Drosophila melanogaster: one gene and its partners. The protein of the gene in region 1 interacts with the protein of each later gene in a pairwise test. Each region holds a gene or a part of one and is shown on either strand. Other genes may lie near its edges.

The links.
Region 2: the proteins of Cpr47Ef (region 1) and CG15580 interact in a two-hybrid assay, tested with the Drosophila melanogaster proteins (one large-scale study listed by BioGRID).
Region 3: the proteins of Cpr47Ef (region 1) and Eno interact in a two-hybrid assay, tested with the Drosophila melanogaster proteins (one large-scale study listed by BioGRID).

Annotation. Positions count from the first base shown.
Region 1 is NT_033778.4:11,270,811-11,274,564, forward strand, and holds the start of Cpr47Ef (cuticular protein 47Ef), read right to left. Parts: upstream 1,766-3,754; 5' UTR 1,582-1,765; coding exon 1,567-1,581; intron 1-1,566. Other genes in the region: TpnC47D (troponin C at 47D), read right to left, coding at 3,304-3,332.
Region 2 is NT_033777.3:6,055,598-6,059,351, forward strand, and holds the start of CG15580 (uncharacterized protein), read right to left. Parts: upstream 1,940-3,754; 5' UTR 1,894-1,939; coding exon 1,583-1,893; intron 1,458-1,582; coding exon 612-1,457; intron 391-611; coding exon 1-390.
Region 3 is NT_033779.5:1,727,548-1,731,301, forward strand, and holds the start of Eno (enolase), read right to left. Parts: upstream 2,090-3,754; 5' UTR 1,981-2,089; coding exon of another isoform or gene 1,282-1,980; exon of another isoform or gene 1,185-1,281; intron 917-1,184; exon of another isoform or gene 756-916; intron 686-755; 5' UTR 507-685; intron 334-506; 5' UTR 287-333; coding exon 99-286; exon of another isoform or gene 1-98. Other genes in the region: Rrp40 (ribosomal RNA processing 40), read left to right, coding at 1,282-1,980; CG31937 (uncharacterized protein), read left to right, coding at 2,437-3,402. UniProt on the Drosophila melanogaster protein: Enzyme of the glycolytic pathway. Glycolysis is essential in glial cells but not in neurons; neurons rely on the citric acid cycle for their energy needs, and on lactate and alanine secreted into the hemolymph by glial cells to fuel it.

The DNA of each region.
Region 1 (3,754 bases):
AAATAAACGATAAGCTTTTTCCAAACTTCAAATTACAAGAAGAACCTTGAATTGTTTCTGCTGTTAATTAAGCCCTGATACACATCTCGGCCAAGTGGGTATCATGACCCCGCCGCTGGGAACCTCCAAAGGGGTCAAGAGTGTGGCCAAATGTCGGCCATTTCATCAATGAAGCATTTGTCCATTGACAGAACGACGCAATCCGATCCGCTCACGTTTTCCATTGTTGCAACCGATCGTCGTCGCCCATTAAGGCTGCAAGTGCAGCGGGGACTCTTGACTATAGTATCAACATCGGGCTGGCTCATCATTGTCTCAGCCTGAGGCGAACTATGATATTTATGGACTTCTTGTTAGACAGAAGACGTCTGAAGATGCAGCAGCGTGTGAACCGAGAGTGCCACAGAGAATTGCTGGCTGGGAAGGTTGGCTAAGCGGAGCGGACCAGCGAGTGTCAAGTTGAAGTTTAAACCGTTTACGAATTCCATTGGGCCATAAACCTAACAGCTCCATCGATTGGCACGATGATGAGCTCACTTGTCGCCACAGCCGGGCAGTGTAATAATGTAATATTGTGGAAATTCTGACATTTGCCACACTGACTCATCCGGCGACTGTGGCACATGCAACCGAAACAAGCAACGCCTGCCCCTTGGGCCGGAATATCTTGAGGAGTCTGTGAGAGCCTCTTGGAGTTCGTGACCACCTAGCAGACATCTTCGACAGCGTTTCGCAACCGCAAATATAATTGCGGTTATTGCAAATGGGCTGCCAATTGGGTCGCCACTGCTTCCATTTCGATGATCTGCTTTGGAGGCGGGGCGGATCGGCCACGACCAAACCATCTTGGGCAACTTTGCGTGCCATCCACCATCTCCGATTGCAAATGGGCTGTTAATTTATGCGTTTCACGGGGATTACTCGATCTTTTCAAGACAATCGGATATGCTAAGTGCAATGGGGAAACCCTTGGCTGTGCTAAAATATCCAAGATGGGACACTCCAGTGGCCTATTGTTTAGGCATGTTCTTTTTCGCGGAATTTTATGAGTTGCCAAGTTGAGATTAAATAATTAACTAAATCAAAGTTTCCTGAAAAGTTATAAACTCTTGATGAATAAGAATATTCCTATGCCAATTTAATACAGATTTCTGATGAGACAATTCCCTAGACTAAAATAATTGAATGTCTTTATTCTAAGGTAAAATTCGTAACTTTACTTTCATTTAAATTAAATTGGGTAATGAAATCAATTTAATTAAATTTGAAGCATTAAGATCTTTGCATTCGAATGTAAAATGTAAAAATGTAATGAATGTAAAAAATCCGAAAAGAATAAAAACGGAAAATATGAATATAAATATGAATATTATATTCAAACATTGAAATATATTTTTGAATCTAGGTCATTATCTCAAGAAGGATACTTTTCGGGAAAAATTAGTAAAGCTCTACAATAATTTCTAACCACAACAGCATATGGAGTTTCAAAGGACTCTTCATTAGAACACTTGGATCTTTTGAATTTTCTAACCCAAAGTTACTTTCCTCTTTCACTGAACTTACCCACTTAAGAGCCATGACAGCAATCTTTTGATTGTTTCGATCGAGGATTAAGAAGAAGAATCCTTGGCGCACCCACAATTTATCCACTGCTTAATTTATCCACAAAGCTGGGTTAATCCACGTAAGTCCTTTGCCGCACCAGCGATGCAGTGCCTCCGCGTGTCGTGTTGTGGCTCCTCGAATGTCACGGTACTTGTGTGCCGATCGCAGCCCAAGTTCTCCAGCTTTTATACTTGGTTTGGCGCCAAATGCAATCAAATGGAATGGAATGAACGAAAACTGCAGCCGGAGCTTGCCGCTTGCAGCTTGGAGCTCGGTGCTGAGCGAGTGCTGAGATTTTGATACTTTATGGCATTTATTGCAATCGTGTGCAGCTGTGGTGGTGATGGTGGTGGTGCTAGCTGAGGCTCCGTCCCCAGCTGGGGCAGAAAACAATCGCACGAAAAAGGGAGGAGGAGGTGGTGGTGCCCCCGCATCCTCATCCGCAAGCCCATGCATTTTGACTATTGTCTCAACGGCGGCATCTCGTTTACTCAATGTACCTTGTCTTGTTAAACAAACGCTCTCAGCCACATCTCTCCTCGGTTAGTGGGTAAAAATTAGCAAGCAAGCAACTGCTGCTGGTGGTGCTCGTAAATTGGAATCCAATCGAAACGCTCAACGCTCGAGCGCATCATCATCATTCAGCTTCATCTCCATTGAATTGCACGTTTGGGAAACCGTTTTAATGCGCTCGGTGTCAAGAATCGCATATTGAGAAGTCTGCCCAGGCGGATGTCAATAAATCTGACACCCAACACAATCCGCCACATTTTCAGCTCTTTCACAGGGCGTCCAGGTCCAGTCTGTGACCTTTCACCTAATGATTGGGTAAAAACTGAAAACTGGATTCGAAGCGGTAATAAATACCACTAATATCGACACCCTCCGGCCGAAAGACTAAGCATTGCGCAAAACAAGTTGCTCCACTTGGTGGCAACATCCAAACCCCAACCCATCCACATCGATCTGCCCCAAGCCCCTTCTCCTTTTTTTTCGCTAACTTTTCAGAAAGGGCAGTTGCTTCTTTTCGCTGAATTTGGGAAAACAAACTCACTGCATGTCGCGGCGGCCAAGTTTAGCGTAAATGCTTGACATCTTTTGGCAACAAGGAGAATGCTCATTGACATTTGCCAGCCTGCATGCATAGCTATGATATACTACATTGGCTGTTTGGAAAGGCAAAAATCTAGCAGGTTGTCAGTGGGCCTTATTCTGCTTGGGATGGTCACAGCTGTGCGGACCAGAACGCCAGTCAAGTGGCAAACGGAATGTGCACGCACTGCCGCAAGTAATAGCGGAAAGATTGAAACAAAGAACTCCGCATGCATCTGGCCACGTTGCGTATGCGCAACATGCATCACTCATACGCCGAATGGCCTTGCCAAATTAACACACAAATGAGCAGAGCGGCCACGCCCACTCCCAGCCCATTGCACAAACATTGAAATTTAATAATAATCCGCACGCCAGAGGGTGGCAATTGGCAATTAAGATGACTCAACTCGGATGCAGATGCACTGCAGCCATAGAATGTTTGCCGCGCTTTGGGTTTTTCTACTCAATCGGTTCCTGAACGAGCGGATTATTTATAGCGTAATTATGATTACTCAATCGTAGAAATAAAATACAAAACGTTTATTCAAGCCTCGGGTGTTGGGGGGTAGACAATTATGAGATACGTTGGGTCCACAATGCTTACTCGCCAGTCATCATCTCCATGAATTCTGGAAATTAAATACAAAATAATATTAATTATTATTATTGTTGATAACTAAAATATGGTTTGTGTACTAATACAAGTGGAAATTGGACCAAAACCTCATAATACAAATTTGTTTCTTTTTAAACTGGTACACCAATCGGAACAATTATAAAAGGCGGAAAATATGGACGGATTTTGTTTTAGGAATAGTGAAATGCCCCTTAGAATCTGGGGCAAAGTGATCTGCTTGTTTCTGTGTAAAGATCTAAAGAACTATAAATAAAGCACCACAAGGGCGTCTCCCCTCGTTGGTGGGATGGTGGTGTTAGTGGGGAGGGGTAGGGGTTCTCCACCGCAACAAATTGATATAATTTGTGTGGAAAATACCATGGCAGCGCGCCAAGGAATCCAAGATCTTTATAGCCCGACTGACGGCGGCTAATT
Region 2 (3,754 bases), on another chromosome or scaffold:
CACGTTATGAGCGAATGCAGGGCCAATTCATTAAGCGGATTGTGAGCCAGGCCCAGATACTCCAAAACCCCCACTTGCGATTGGCTCAACGCCTCGCCCAGCACAATTGCACAATTGGCGCCCAATTTGTTGTGTTCCAGCTGGATACTGCGGTACATCAAAGGGCGCTTTAGCAAATAGGCCAGGCCTTCGCTGCACTCATCCGTCATTTGGTCATAACCAAAATCCACCTCATCAAGGGTGTCTAAGTTCTGAAGGGCACGGGTCAGGATACGAAACTTCTTCATACTCAGGCGACTGTTTCGAAGCCTGAAGGTCTTGAGGCTCGGTAAGTATTTCAGACCTTTGCTAAGACGAACCATATCACTGTCTGAGAACTTCATATAACGGCTGTAAGGTACAAGTTAAGTTAAGTTTAAGCTAGCAATTTTAATTTAAATGCTGGTGGTAGGCGATGCAGCTGTAGACTCTTGGCGCTTTTAGAACTCTACTTCACATGTATTTATTTGGTTCCATTTATCTCAGAGAAAACATGTTATACAAATCGTGTACAGCACGTTTCACTTCTTCGATGTTGTTTCTTACCATAACATTCTAATTTAAGAGCTTACCTTTGATAGTCTTTTACATCAGGTGGTCCCAAAAACTCCAGCGTCAGAGACATCATATTTTCAAAATATCGTACAAATCCCAGATCAATGTGATGACAATGGTCCTCCGGATAGTCATACCGCTTGATCCGCTCCAGCAGCAGCTGCTTGTTGCGCTTGTCCGGTTTTGTGTCCTCGTCATCACCTTCTTCTGGAGCAACGTTTATGCTGAACACGTCTCGAATGGGCGGTTCCTTCTTCTTTTTCTTCTTTTTCTTGCCCGATTGATCCGCATTCTTCAAGGCGTCCAGTTTCTCCTGGCGCTTCCTCTTGCGCTCCTTGCGATCCTCCCGTTTCCTAGCAATGGCATCCCGAGCCTGCTGGCGGTTGGCGTTGCGCAGATGTCGCGCATTCCGGCGAATTGTGTCCTCGTTCTCGGTTTCCGCACGCCAGAAAGTAATAGCTGCCTCGCTGCTGGAACTACTAGACTTGTGCTCCTCCTCGCCCTCGTCCATTTCCGTATCCGGCTCATCGCTAGATATCTCCTCCTCGTCGGATGACTCCGAGGATATATCCTCTTCAGGCTCGCTCTCCAAGTGCTTAATGAAGGCATAGTCGGGCAGAGCTTGCAGCTTGCGGATGTGCATGGAGTTGACATACTGCCAAACAATTTCAGCCAACTGAGCCAGCCTTCTCTGCGGCTTCACGTTCACAGGACATGATTCAACCTGCTCCACAAACTTCCGGCTCACACCCTCAGCCTTCCAGTCGAACTCGTTCCAGCGCTTCAGGTGCAACGTTTTGTCCAAAGTCTTGCTTAGTACGACGCGTCGCCAAAATCGTTGATCCTCGATCAAATAGCAATCTCTTTGAAATATATATAAAGTTATTAGGGTTTGTAACCATAGTAAATAACGATATAAAGTTAGTGGCGTCAAATGTTAAATTATAGGTTATGTAATGAAAATACTTGTATCCGTTTCGTTACATACCTCAAAGGCAGCTCCACATCCAGTGCGTCGTAAAATATCCTCATAAGCTGGGGACTCGCCTGCAAAGTTGGAGATATGCCTCGAATGCCCAGCTTGGCCAGACTCTTTACGCTCAGATTGACTAAAGTGTTCAAGTTTCCCTCTATAAAGGCCTCCGCAAAAATCTCGCGATTCCGTTCGCTGTATAGGTTCAAGGTCTGATGAGAGGGCTTAAAAAGCTCATATGTGGCCAGAAGGAGGGGATCGGTGGGAGCCCGGAATTTCTGAGCATAGTGCGGTTGCACAACCTCCTCATCATCTTCAAAGTCCATATGGAGTTATTTTCGAGTATGTTTGTTTGTGCGTTGAAAGTCTTTTTTTTTGAAGTTTGTTTCTGAAAGTGATCGATAAGTATAACATGGTTTTAACCCATGTGTTCCAGTGCACCTTAATACATTTATGGAAGTGCCGTTTGTCTATCTTCATACTCCAATGAACATGTTTTATGTTTTAGTTATCTCGCACCTGCCAAACGTACTTCCTCATTAAAAACTGTCCGGTTTTCATTTAAGACACTCTAAATCCCGACCCGAGTGCGTAACAAATGTTTACAACGGCTAATTTAAGAAAACTCGCCTAAGATATTTTCCACTTACGGCGCTCTTTAAGCGTTTGCTAATATTTGCTGCTAATGTCTCGCAAGCACTTGCCAAGCACTCGAAGCAAATTTAAATTAAGCTAACCTAATTGAGAAGCGAAGAGCAGTTTCTTTTTGTGGCCAGCCCCGCTTCGCCCGCCCCGTTCCATTCCGTTTTGGCCAATATTCAGCGCTTTGTTTTGATGGCGAAGCTGCCAGGAGCTTCACCTTGCCGGCTATTTTTCTACCTAATGAAATAAAAATAGATGTTGTTAGAGCTGCTCGCTGAGTGTGCTCGTCCTGTCCGGGTGCCTTTGTGCCTGGATCGGAGATGGCCCCCAGTTTGGAAGTGGTTTCCATAGTGCATGTAGCTGCTCCTGCCAACAAAGACGCTGCACTTAAGAAAACCAAACGACTTTGTATCAATTCTTGTGACCAGGACATATAAAATATTTATATTTTTAATGCATATTTATTATTATTTAATTATAGTGGTACTGTTGATAAGCTATAATATTTTCCCGGAAGAGCTGTTACTTCCTACCTATGTGGGCTATATTCCAGGATGTATCATATAATAAAATGTTTAGTTTTAAAGTTGTAAGGAAATAATTTGGCACGGTGTGCACCTATAGCATTCCTGGCTCTGCAAAGCTTTGTGAATATGCTCAACTTGGAGTATTTCTTCAGAGCAAGTGGAGGAGCCCCAGGTCCCCAGCTCCCAGTACAAATTAAGTGCATGCCAGGACGAAATTCGCCATCCAGCCCACCACTACACACAACACAACCACCGACATCGTCGTTGGTCCTTTTCTGTGAACGACAACTGCATTGCTAAGTGGAAGTTCGACCATGACTTTTGCTTTCGCTTCGTCAATCACCTTTTTATCTGGAAGGACATTACCAAGCCAGCTCAACTCGGATTCGGTCTTACCAACTTGTCCTTCCTCGCATGTCCTTCTCGGACGTGAATGTATGTGTGTATGTGTGTGCCCCAAAATTTATTACAACCTTTGGGAATTCTTTTAAGTAGTTGCTCGATTCAAAATAATTTTCCATTTATCACCGTGATAACAAAACAGTTTTCCCCCAGCCGCAAACCAGAGCGAAAATGGCAAAATAACATCAGAAGCGCGGACATTATGAGTGGGTCGGTGTTAGGTGGAGAAAACTTCACTGCGTGGATGGAGTGTGGATGGGGGCTTGGGGACGGAGGCGTGGCAATGGCTTGGCCAAAATAAAGTGCTCTTCGCAAATCTCGCTGCCGTTGTAGTCGTCCTGGGAGTTGAGCTGAAGACTGGCTGCGGTCGTTAGGGAGTCCGACTTGTCCGACTGGCTCTGATGATAAATGCCGGGCAGCAGGTGATTTAAAATAATTTCGGCCAGCGCGCGAAAAGTATATGTTGCCGGCGCTGTTGTTTTCAAATTTTTGAAATTTACGAGCTGCCGTTCGTCTCACGGCAGAGTTTTGCCTTTCCCCTGAGGCGAAAAGACCAAAAAGTTGGCGCGATTGCTTAACATGTTTGCAACACTGGCTCCGGGGACGATCTAAACCG
Region 3 (3,754 bases), on another chromosome or scaffold:
ATTGGGGTGATCTTTGTGAAGTTCGCAGATAAAACAATTAAATATTTTCCCTAAGCTGGATGCACAAGCACACACCAAGAGTCTAGCAATATACATACCAAGTACTTTTGCGGATCTGCACAAATTTAAATCCAGATGAGAGCTGGCTGACTGCTGATTTGCTTCTGAAACGCGGCGCAACGTTTGCCGATTTATTCTGGGGAATTCTGGGGAGAGGCCAGCGCAGACGCAGAAACTTCATGCTAGTGGTGGAAGTCCTCAAGAAAACTGAAGCGGTCCAAGACATGGCTTGAATGTGTAAAAGACGGCGGCGAAAGTGCTACCAATTTGTATCTTGATAAAGGAGTAAAAAATATCATTTAAAATATATATTTTAGTTACCTTACATGAAACTATAGCTCTGTTGCAAGCTATATGATAAATTTAATATTCATAAATTTTAAAAGCTCAGCTTAGGCGATGTATTTTTGCCCATCTCTAAGTGTGGAAAAGAGAGGGACACTTACATTTACTCTCCTTTTATATGTATGCGTTTCCAGGTGCTCGCCGGTTTTCAGTGTGGGGGTGCGCTTTCCCTTTTTTGTTGTTTTCCCTGGTACGTTTCCTATATTTTTTGGGGAAAATTGACCTTCGCACAAGGTTAGAGTAATCGGGATCCACACGTAGCTGTGGATTGCATGTCTATCTACATAATAATAAATGCTCTCGTTAATAAAGCATAAACAATCAAATGGCGTCAAGAGAAGTGTAACAACCAATGATAATGAAATGTTCCCGTGGTTTCTGGACAATCGGGTCATTCAAAGTCACATACTTGTGGTTAGTCACGCTTTTTAGCTGCCATAAATTAGAACAAATAAATGCAAAGCGGATTTTAACAAATCGTACGATTATGCTTATAGCAGCACAGCTGATCGGGAAAAAATTGCATATGTGTTGGTTAACATTGCCGCCCACACGCTGTTAGCTCTTTAAAACTTTCTTTGCATTTTTAAGATCATTCAGTAATATAGAACAATTACAATTTGACTAAATATAATTTTTCTGTTACTTTTTTAAGTTCATCTTAATAATTAAAATCGTAAGCATTTTGAAAATAATAAAATAAGAAGGGGCAAAAATAATTTGAATATTTATGTTCTTTACAACTACTGTTAAATTTAACTTTAAGACCAGGGCTGACAATGGCAGTGTTGGAAAGTCCTCGACTTGACCATATGTTTTGAAAGACACACGCGGATTTTTTGTTTGGAGTTTTCAAATCGTAAAAGCAACATTAAAATGAGCGCGACCAGCACAATAGTTATGCCCGGTGAGCGAATTGCGGCCATTGAGGAGCTGGCCAAGAGCAAGCGGGTGATACTCGGACCGGGACTGCGGCGTCTGGATGACACGGTGGTGGCTAGCAAGGCGGGCCCACTTCGACACAAGGAACCCGGCACCTTCTGGGTGGACAACTACCAGAGAAGGTACATCCCGGCACGCGGGGATCTCATTCTGGGCATTGTGCGAGCCAAGGCGGGCGATCTGTACCGCGTGGACATCGGAGCAACGGACACAGCCTCCATATCGTATCTCGCCTTTGAGGCGGCCAGCAAGAAGAATCGCCCGGATCTGATCCCCGGTGATCTGATTTACGCGAGAGTCCTGAATGCAAGCGCGGACATTGAACCGGAGCTGGTCTGCGTCAACTCGGTGGGCAAAAGTGGCAAACTGGGCGTCCTCACCGATGGATTCTTCTTCAAGTGCAGCCTGAATCTGGGAAGGATGCTGCTGCGGGAAAACTGCCCTGTTCTCGCCGCTCTTACCCGGGAACTGCCCTACGAGATCGCTGTGGGAGTCAACGGCAGGATATGGTTGAAGGCCCATTCCCTGAAAGAAACCGTGGCCCTCGCCAATGCCATTTCAGCGCTGGAGCAATCGGGATGTGCGGAAATCGACAAAATATGTGGCAATCTCGGAGACTTCCTGCAGGCCTAGGATTAGTTCTTAGTTTACTTACTTTTATATAAAAAGAAATGGTTAGCCAAACTGATGGGGTTGAATTTTGATGTGAATGTTGGCGCAAAGGCAGTGTGTTGGAAGCCCTGATTCGTTTACGTAAAAAAACTATCAGAGATGAGCAGATGGAAGCGTTTTTCGTATCTTGGATTATGCTCTACATGTTCTCTCAAGAAAGATAGTACTACCCTTACCTAGCTACCAAAAGGTATTTAAATAATATAGCATCATTCAAAAACCAAGTATAAGGGTTTTATGTCAGATAAGGTGACTACTTTCCGCAGTCACTGCGTCACCTCTGGTGCCCACCAACAGCTGATCGATCAGACCCGCTCGCAGTGATTTCTGTGTGGCCAAGAACAGGTTTCAGTGCCTTCCGTTGCGGCAGAGGACAAAGGTTTCTCCGACCCAGCCGTGCCATACAGAGCCAACGAGATGAGCTTCCTGGAGTTTCTGCTGCTCCTGCTCGTGCTGTACTATGTCGTGTACGTGCTCCTCTGGATCCTGCTCGACTGCAATGTGGCCCTGTGGTACAAGTCCCGTTTCGGAGTCTCGCTGTCGTCGATGCGCGGACAGGTGGTTTGGATAACTGGTGCCTCGAGCGGAATTGGCCGCGCTTTGGCGCTCAGCTTGGCCAGGCATGGAGTGAAATTGGTGCTAAGTGCCCGGCGACTGGAGCAATTGGAGCAAGTGCAAGAGGAATGCCTAGCTGCAGCTCGCGGACTGCTGGCCACCAAGGACGTGCTGGTCATTCAAATGGACATGCTCGATCTCGACGAGCATAAGACGCATCTCAACACGGTGCTCAATCACTTTCATCGACTGGATGTCCTTGTCAATAATGCTGGCCGATCCCAGCGAGCCAGTTGGACCGAAGTCGAGATCGAGGTGGACCGGGAGCTGTTCGAACTGGATGTCTTTGCGGTGGTCCACCTCAGCCGCCTGGTGGTGCGCTATTTCGTGGAGCAGAACGGCGGTAGAGGACACATCGCTGCCACCTCCAGCATCGCCGGCTTCAGTCCAGTGCCATTTTCACCCACCTACTGTGCCGCCAAGCACGCCCTTAACGCCTACTTGCTCTCCCTGAAAGTGGAGATGCGCAAGCTGGATGTGTCGCTCTTCGCACCGGGACCCATAGCCACCGATTTCCTGCAGGAGGCCTTCACTGGCTCGCAGGGCGGAAAGGTGGGTCTGAGTACGGCCAATCAGAAACGGATGACGGCCCAGAGATGTGGCGATCTGTTCGCCGTTGCCTTGGCCAATAAGATGGATCTCACCTGGTGCGGCCTCTTTCCCGTCAACCTCTTGGCCTACTGCGCCCGGAATCCCACGCTGAGCAAGATTCTGGCTCAATTGATGACCGAGAAGACGCTGAACAAGATTCGCGAGGGCAAACTGTGAGAACAACCCCGGTGTGCCTCGCCCCTTCCCTATTCCTGCTCCAAACGGCTCTCAGTCATCTTTTATACTGTTGTATAATTCTTAACTATATACTAAAATATATAAATATGTGCACAAGATTAAGTTGAGTGTGCGTTTCAATCGCGATAATCTTCACAGGCACAGTGGGATTCTACAGTTCCTCCCATTCAATTGGTGAGCAATATTGTGGTAAGCTAATAATCAATTAAGATTTATGAATTCTAAAATATTCTAGTTAACTTAAGTCATTAACCAGTAATTTAGTAATCTATCATCTGGTTCAGATGCATAGATTTTTTTGCCATTATAGAAGAGGGCATATTACACTCAG